2 linked regions of the Canis lupus familiaris genome follow. The protein of the gene in region 1 interacts with the protein of each later gene in a biochemical or structural test. Links are inferred from orthologs where the notes say so. Each region holds a gene or a part of one and is shown in the gene's direction. Other genes may lie near its edges.

Region 1 (4,268 bases):
GGCGCAGGGTTTTCCTGGCGGCCCCCTCCTTCGCCCGCTCGCCCCCTGAGGAGGGGGCTGGGCTGGGGCCTCGGCCGGCCGGGGAGGAAGGAGGGGAGCAAAGAAAAACATGAGTCACAGCCGTGTGTCACTGGGCCGCATTGCATTTCCCTGCATCACGGGAGGTGTGGAGGGCAGCCGCGGGGACCAGGGGCGGGAGGTGCGCCCGAGGAGGCCCGGACCCGGCCTGCAGGGCGCGCCGCTCTCGACAGCGCCCTTTCTTCTCCCACCGCCCTCCCCGCCATCTTTCGACTTTGGCTTCCTCCTCGTCGGTGCAACAAGTCTCTGTGGCGCCGGGCGGGCCAGGCGTGGCGGGGACGGCTCGCGTCGACCCAGTCCCTGCCCTCAAAGTGCTTCCAGGCGACCGTGGGCTCACGCTTTCTCGTTCTCCTTCGCAGCGGAGAAGGCTAGGGCACCCAGTGGGTAGGCGTATCTCCAAGCACCACGCGAGCCCCCTGGAGGGACGAGTCCACCCTCGGGTTTACCTGCAAGCGAGCCAATCGTTTGCTTCGCTTGGAGGCTGCACCTGGATGACGGCTCACTCGCGGCCATTAATAAGCGAGAACTCGGGATTTCACAAGTTTCACGTTTGGATTTCACAAGACTTGTATTTCACCAGTCAGCCACACGCAGGTTGGCACTGAAATGCACATGCTGACACCTGTCCGCCCAGGGGAATCTGCGAGCCGCGAATCTGGGCGCTGGGGCGGCGGGTAGGCCGCGGAATTCTCCCGGGCGCGTTCCTCCCCGCCCCCGCCCGCCCGCGCGGATCCCGCGGGCACTAACGCCCGCCCACACCCAGCGCGCCCCGCGGGCGCCGGGCCCACGCGCCCGGAAGGTCCCTGGAGGTGATCCTCCCAGGACCGCCCCCCCGCCCCGTTCCAGGCTGTGAGGACGCCCTCCCCTCTCCCCCCGCGGAAAGCTCCTTGGCGTTCCCACTCTATGCACCCTCCCCGGGCTCCCGGCCCGGGACAGTAGAGGGGATCGTGGCCTCGGGTTCCCAGCCCAGGCCTCCCGCGCACCCCTCCCGGGCGTCAGCACCCACCCGCGCGGCGGCGGCGGCTGGCGGGCGGCCGCCCTTTTAAATCCCCGGGCTCATTTGCATGGCCCCGCCCCCCACAGTGACACGGCTGGCGCGGGCGGGCCCGTCCCCCCTGCCCCTGGGTCGCTCTTTTTAAGCTCCCCTGAGCCGGGGCTGCGCTCCTCTAATTGGGACTCCGAGCCCGGGCTATTTCTGGCGCTGGCGCGGCTCCAAGAAGGCGTGAGTTCGCGGCCCCTCCGGTGGCTTCTTTTTTTTTTTATGTATCTATCATTTAATTAAATTATTTATTTATTGAGGCCGCGCACGGGCCGTGCCTAGCTTCCTGCCCCTCGCCATCCTTCGGGGGAGGGCGAATATTTTTGTCCCCCCGCCTGAATGTGACAGATAAATACCCCGCGGGGGCCTGGGCGGCGAGCACGCGGCGGCGGCGGTCTCTGAGCGCCTCTGCTCTCTCTCCCGGTTTCAGATCCGCATTTGCTACCAGCGGCGGCGGCGGCGGAGCCAGGCCGGTCCTCAGCGCCCAGCACCGTCGCTCCCGGCAGCCCGGAGCGCGCACCGCAGGCCGGCGGCCGAGCTCGCGGTGAGTCGTCCCCGGGGCCCGCGGCGGCGGCGGCGGCGGCGGAGGAGGGGGGCGCCCGCGCCCCCGCCCGCACGCCGCCCCTCCTGCGAGCCGCCCGGGGCTGCAGCGCGCGCCTCCGGCTTTATTCCCAGGCCGGGGCTGCGCGAGCCGGCGGCGGGGGAGGGCCGCGCGGCGCGGGGGCGGGCGGCGGGGCCCCGCGGCGCGGGGAGGGCGCCCGCACCCCTTCCCCCGCGCCGCGGGTGCCCTGCGGGGGGCGGGGACCCGGGAAAGGCGCGCGGTGGGGGAGGGGGCGCGCGGCTGCGGCGAGCGCGAGTTGTGCACCCGGCGGAGCCCGGTGCACCTCGCGCGGCCGCCGCTCCCGCTGGAGCCCGAGCCCGAGCCCGAGCCGGGGCCCGGGCTGTGGGGGGTGGGGAGAGGAGCGGGCTGCGGCGAGGCGGGCGAGTGGGGGGCCGGGCGACCCCCGCAGCCCGGGGAAGTTCTAGAAGTGAGGGGGATGGGCGGGAGCCCCGCAATTCAGCTCTGCTCCCGCTCGGCCTTCCTCCTGGTGCCCCCCTACGCAGAGGAGGCCGAACCGCGCGGCCCTGGGTTTGGGGCTTCACCCCGACCCCACCTCTGGCCCGGCCCGCGCCTCTTCAGCCCCCGGGGCCGGGCCTGCCCTCCGCCCCCACAAACAGGTTTCTCTGCTTTGCAGGGCTCTGTTGGAACTAGTCCCTCTGACTCCCCGTTTCAATTTTTTTTTTTTTTTCTGGAGCTTTATTTTGCGGGGAGGGCGCGGAGGGAGGTGGCTTTCTTCCTCTACCCCGCGCCCGCGCGCGCCAGGTTTCCTGCCCCAAGGCGGGCTTGGGTGCCCCCTCTGGCAGGAAGTGGGGCCGGGTGCACCCGCGTGGCGGTGCATGCGGTCGGGGTGCACCAGTTTCCCGCGCCTGCGAGAGCAGCCCGTGCCCCTCCCCCCGCGCGCTCGGGCCCCTAGTTTCGTTGGCTGACCTGCAACGGCCCGGCCCAGACACTTGCAGAGTCACCCTGGGGCCGGGTCTGGAGCAGGGGGCGACAGAGACTTTAATCAGTCTCCAGGAGGGTAAGGAAAGAAAAGTCCCGGGCTAGAGGGGTCGCCGGTAACAACCTCTCTTTCCTCACCAACTTGCTGTGTGACCTTGGGCAACTCCTCAGGCCTCTCTGGGCTACTTTTTTTCCGGAAAACAAGGGAGCCCCATGATGATTTCCTAGGGTTGTGCTCGTAGACTCGTGTGCATTTGTGGAAGACCCATTGCATGCACGGTGTGTGGAGGGGCAAGCTTGAGGCCCAGAAAGGCTCATTACATACAGAAGGATTCAGGTTGGGCCCTAAACATGGCTTCGCCAGCCAGGCTTCTGATATTCAGAAACAGGTGGAAGAAGAGACAAGCCCTACCGAGAGAGGGCTTCAGGCCTTCATTCAGTTCCTGGAGGCCTGGAAGGGGAGGGAGTTGGAGAGTGGATTAAAGGGGTCCCCAGGAGTATGAGGTGGTGGGGGGATCTCCAGATGATGCAGGAACTTTCCCGGAGACCCACCAGGATTCTCAGGCATGCTGGGCCCAGGCTTTCTGGGATTAGGGGCTGGCTTGGCCCAACTGGAACCCCCTCCGTGAGGGGGCCTTCTGCAGACCTCATGTGAGGTCAGTGCTCATTTAGACTGATTAATTTTGATGTTTAGCTTGAAGGGGAACCTGTGGTGTAATATAAGATTCTAATCACTGCCTGTAATTACAGAGCAGGCCAAGCCACTAATGACGGAGCAGGATAAATCACCAACCACCTTGTTTAAAAGGGTCTTCAAGTCTGAAATATTATAAAATAGAATAATTACCAAAGTCTCACCGTCTGGAGAATCGTGATGCTTGAGGATGGGGGCCTCAAGCCCTCCAAAAATCACAAGTTTGCAAAAAAACTTTCTTTTCTCTTGGCTAAGTTAAAATTGGAAATGTGTCTGAAAATCTGAAATAGGTGAAAGAAAAGTCATTTTCGAATATTCTAGTTCTCATTTTGATTGAAGTGAGGACTTTATGTTGACGCATTTAACTATGATCTTGACTATGATGATCATTTAACTATGATCTGGTTTAATCTTTGACATCAGTTTGGAAGAGGGAGTTGGGGTAGATGTCTTCCCATTACCCCATTTTACAGATGGAGGTCTTTTGGAAGTGTAGCTGTGTGGGCCCGCCCTTTCCCAAGGGCAACCAGGGATCTGTTACCAGGGAGGTACAGAGTCCTAGGTCTCCCGGGTCTCCTGTCTCTGCAACTGGAAAGACAAGAGGGGAAATGGGATGGGGGAGGGGAGGACCCTCACTGTGTTTTAAGCCTCTGGAAGAGCCACCCTAATCCGGGGTGCAGGTGCTCCTTGCAGTGGGAGGTTTTATGTAAACTCAAAATTAGTGGGGCTGATTAAACCCAAAACGGCCTCTAAGAAGAGGGAAAATGCTAGAAAAGAAGCTTTGAGGACCAGCTCTGCCAGGGCTGGGGGGGTGGGAGGGAGGGAGGGCAGCCAGCATCTGCTAGAAGGATCCATCTCAGTGGAGAAATTCTGCCCCTCCTGAAAGCAGGCATCAAAGGGGAAGATTTTATTTGACT
Region 2 (4,547 bases), on another chromosome or scaffold:
AGCAAAGATGGAAGGTTAGACTAGGGTGCTGGCAGTGGAGGAGAAAAGAAGATGGACTCAAGATATATTCTGGAAGTAGAACCAACAAAACATATTCAGAATTCTCTTAAAAGGGACCATAAGTAAGTGAATTGAAAACAGGTTGGAGGAGTGAGTGCATTTAAAAGGGGAAGGAGGAGATTTTGAGAGAGGAAAGAATGGGAGAGGAGTGCCCTAAGTAGCAGCTTAGAGGTGACGTATTAAAGCGATCGCATTTACTTAGGACTCTAATCTCACAGCCTGCTCTGCACCTGTTTCCTTAAAACAAGGAATCAAACTGGGCAGAAAGACAAACTGTTTTGAAGACTTTTAGCCTTAAATGGTTGAGCCCAGGCCACTGGGGGGGGGGGAAAAAAAAAAGATAATTTACCCGATGAAAATAATGAAGCAAGATTTAACTAAGATCATTTTAGGGAGACACAGTGGTTCTTACTCTGGCCGCACATTCAGATTCCCCAGGGAGCTTTTAAAACTTCATGCGCGGGGCTCCCGTGAAGTGGTTCTGACTTAATTAGTTTGAGGTGAGACAGAGGCACAGGTATTTTGTGAAAGCTACAGCTGACTGTACTGAGGAGCAAGAGAGCCCTCCAAGTACAGCTGAGGATGTCGGGTCAATAAACCTATTCCATTAAACGAGAGATTAACAGAGGGAAGAAAGGGGTGAAGGGACTTTAGTCCCCAAATACGGAATACAGGCCCGTCGGTTCAATGGACATAATCCGAGGCTACCAGAAAATAAAGTCAACTTTCTTCAATGTCTTTTTTTTTTTTTTTTTTTTTTTTTTTTTTGCTGGGAGAGAAGTTTATTCGCACAGTGCTGGGAACACAGACGCTCCCACGGACACCGCACATACTTCAAAGTGTATTTTATTTGTATCGTGAACAACAGGGAGGGAAGAAATGAACCCCTGACAGTTGACTGAAAGGGAAACGGAAGAGGAAAAATACCTCGTCCACGCCAACGACCACGCGGGGAAGCAACCGCGAGGCAGGCGGGCAGCCCGGGGGCTCCGGGGGCTCCGGGGGCTCCGGGGGCTCCGCGGCCCAGCGCCGCCTTCGGCCGCTCCCTCCGCCGCGTGTCTCACCAACGGATAAATAGGGTCTTTAAAAGAGAAAACCCGAACAAGGGAGGGAGGACGGAGCCGTGGAGCTCCAGCGGCGCCCGCCCCGTCACCTCGCGTCCCCGTCACCTCGCGTCCCCGCGCTGCGGCCTGGGGAGCGGCGGCGTCGCCCGGCGGGGCGCGACCCGACTGCAGGGGCTCCCGCCGCCAGGGGCTGGCAGCGCGGCCCTTCCGTGGCCCGGGGTCTCCTCGCGGCCCAGGGCCGGTTCCCACCCGCAGGGCTTTCTTCGTGGCGCTCACACCGTGCGCACCGCCCCTCACCTCGGGGCGCGGCGGGCTTCAGAGCGGGCGGAGGCAGAGGGCAACGGAGGGGCTGAGGGAGAGAGGCTCGCGGAACTCGGGCGCGCGGCGCCGACCCACCCCCCCGGCTCCGCGGGGCGGCGGGGGCGGCAGGGCTGCCAGCGCGGGGCCGCGCTCCGGGCTTCTCCCCCGGATAGTGGGCGGTGCCAGCCGGCACTACAAGTCCCAGAAGCCCCCGCTGCCCGGAGCCCGCGCGGAGCCGCGCAAGGCCCGCCGGGAGTCGGCCGGGGCCGCCAAGATGTCGCAGCCCAAGAAAAGAAAGCTTGAGTCGGGGGGCGGCGGCGGCGGAGGAGGGGAGGGAAGTGAGGAGGAAGATGGCGGAGCGCCGGAGGCGGCCCCGCCGCGACCCCGGAGGGCGCGGCGGGAGCGGGACCAGCTGTACTACGAGTGCTACGCGGACATCTCGGTGCACGAGGAGATGATCGCGGACCGCGTCCGCACCGACGCCTACCGCCTGGGCATCCTGCGGAACTGGGCCGGGCTGCGGGGCAAGACGGTGCTGGACGTGGGCGCGGGCACCGGCATCCTCAGCCTCTTCTGCGTGCAGGCGGGCGCCCGGCGCGTGTACGCCGTGGAGGCCAGCGCCATCTGGCAGCAGGCCCGCGACGTGGTGCGGCTCAACGGGCTGGAGGACCGCGTGCACGTGCTGCCGGGGCCGGTGGAGACGGTGGAGCTGCCCGAGCAGGTGGACGCCATCGTGAGCGAGTGGATGGGCTACGGGCTGCTGCACGAGTCCATGCTGCGCTCCGTGCTGCACGCGCGGGCCCGCTGGCTCAAGGAGGGCGGCCTGCTGCTGCCGGCGTCCGCCGAGCTCTTCGTGGCGCCCGTCAGCGACCAGATGCTGGAGCTGCGCCTGGGCTTCTGGAGCCAGGTGAAGCAGCTCTACGGCGTGGACATGAGCTGCCTGGAGAGCTTCGCCACGCGCTGCCTCATGGGCCACTCGGAGATCGTGGTGCAGGGCCTGTCCGGGGAGGACGTGCTGGCGCGGCCGCACTGCTTCGCGCGGCTGGAGCTGGCCCGCAGCGGCCTGGAGCAGGAGCTGGAGGCCGGCGTGGGCGGCCGCTTCCGCTTCAGCTGCTACGGCTCGGCGCCCATGCACGGCTTCGCCGTCTGGTTCCAGGTGACCTTCCCCGGCGGGGACGCGGAGAAGCCCCTGGTGCTGTCCACCTCGCCCTTCCACCCGGTCACGCACTGGAAGCAAGCGCTGCTCTACCTGAACGAGCCGGTGCCGGTGGAGCAGGACACGGACATTTCCGGAGAGATCACGCTGCTGCCCTCCCGGGACAACCACCGCCTCCTGCGCGTGCTGCTGCGCTACAAAGTGGGCGACCAGGAGGAAAAGACCAAAGACTTTGCCATGGAGGACTGAGCGCGGCCTCCTCCTCCGCCGCCCCCACCCCCAGCCCCAGGCGGCCGGCCTGCGGGGCGGGGTGCAGGGGGCCGGAGCCGCGGCGGAGCCCGGCGCGCAGGTGGGCGCAGCGCCTCCCCGCGCCCTCCCCGCGCCCGGTTCCCGGGAGGCAGGCGGACTGGAGTCTCCTCCTCCCAGGAGGTTCTCCCGGCGATATTTATTTAAAAAGTGAACCCCGAGGCCCCCAACGATGGAAACAGCTTGTTTATTACTGGGCCTCAAAAAGCATGTGGTACCAAGCACTTGTATTTCTGTTTCTTTTGTTTCGCGGGAAGGAAGCCAAACACAGAGGAAGGCTCCGTGCACATCCCTGATGTCTCCCACCCAAACCTGAAGCCAGGGAGAAGGCTAACGGGGTTTACCTAGACTCCATAAATTTCCACTATGACTTAAATATTATCTCTCCAGAGCCATATTCTTTCGTTCTCGAAATTCCCTCCTTTCCTAGGTGCCTCTAGGCTTCAGTGCTTCTTCCTCCTTGTTTTTTTAAATAAACTTTTGCTTCTGGTAATGAGAGGGAGGAGAGTGAGGAAGCAGTTTGAATTATCCTGTTCTTACACTTAACTACTTCCATAGGGTGCTAAAGTCGAACACATTTCTCCTTTTTGAGTAAAATAGGCCATATATAATTGTGCAGCATACCCCCCCCCCCCCCCAACATCAACAAGGTACATTTAGGAGAGAAACATCTGAAAGTGAAGTAGTACGGGTTTTTTTTTATTCTTGATTTTACTATTAAGATTTAACCAAGGCAATGTTTCGTGTATGTTACATAATAAAGTTTTGTGTGACTTTTATTAAACCAGTTGGCAGAAGGCTTTCTGAACCTGACCCAAGGGGTTTGTTCATCATATTGGGTAAATTCTTTAGGCTCTTTAAATTAAGGAAAATCTTTTCCCAGCTAGAGAAATGCACTCACTTAAACTCTCACTTGGGGAGATCATGTGATCTGGCCTACTTACATCAATTGAAATTTCCTTTTTTTAGTGTTGTTGAGTTCTTTTTTTTTTTTCTTTTTAGCTCAGCCAAATGTGAAAGTTGTGAATTTCGGAAAATCATTTGTGATGAAGTGTGAGTCATGTTATCAAATTTATTTCACGGATGTTTCCCTCCTTATCCCTGTGGCAAATAAAACATTGGCATTCTATTTTTATAGATGAAGTAAGAAGTCTTGTGTACTGCGACTTAATAATGCTTTTGCCTACTTAATATCGTCAGTTCTTAAGTGTTACAACCCTTTCGGAATATAGCTTCAGGATAGTTTATGCTTAATGTATGTTTTTTCTTCATACTGGTGGCTTTTGTATGCTGATAGAAAACAGGTGTGAGAAGTGGTCTTTGAAGTAATTCAGTATAGTTTTGTTTATTGTAAATGAGTTTTCTCCTTTATTCATCACATATTAAAGTACTGAAGTATTATAACCAATTTGCTAAAATGTGGTGTTAACACATGAGATCTTCCATTAGGAGAGGAAACATACAAAATCAATGACTTGCCAAGATCCAAGCAATGACAGTGATAGTTGTCACCGTTTTGATAGTTAACAGTCTGTGTAAATGGTGCAGTCATAGTAAAGTAGGCCTGATTTAAGCTGGAGGTATAAAATAAGTCCTTTTTATTTTTTAGGGTCAACTATATAAGATGAACGTTTATTTACAATACTAATGTATGATTTTGG

The links.
Region 2: of the proteins of HMGA1 (region 1) and PRMT6, one has a biochemical effect on the other in vitro, tested with the Homo sapiens proteins (2 studies listed by BioGRID, with this or other methods). The link is inferred for Canis lupus familiaris from reciprocal best matches to the Homo sapiens genes HMGA1 and PRMT6.

What each region holds. Positions count from the first base shown.
Region 1 is NC_049233.1:3,706,286-3,710,553, forward strand, and holds the start of HMGA1 (high mobility group protein HMG-I/HMG-Y), read left to right. Parts: upstream 1-1,227; 5' UTR 1,228-1,300; intron 1,301-1,547; 5' UTR 1,548-1,661; intron 1,662-4,268. UniProt on the Homo sapiens protein: HMG-I/Y bind preferentially to the minor groove of A+T rich regions in double-stranded DNA. It is suggested that these proteins could function in nucleosome phasing and in the 3'-end processing of mRNA transcripts.
Region 2 is NC_049227.1:44,890,228-44,894,774, reverse strand, and holds PRMT6 (protein arginine N-methyltransferase 6), read left to right. Parts: upstream 1-1,658; 5' UTR 1,659-1,698; coding exon 1,699-2,829; 3' UTR 2,830-4,290; downstream 4,291-4,547. UniProt on the Homo sapiens protein: Arginine methyltransferase that can catalyze the formation of both omega-N monomethylarginine (MMA) and asymmetrical dimethylarginine (aDMA), with a strong preference for the formation of aDMA.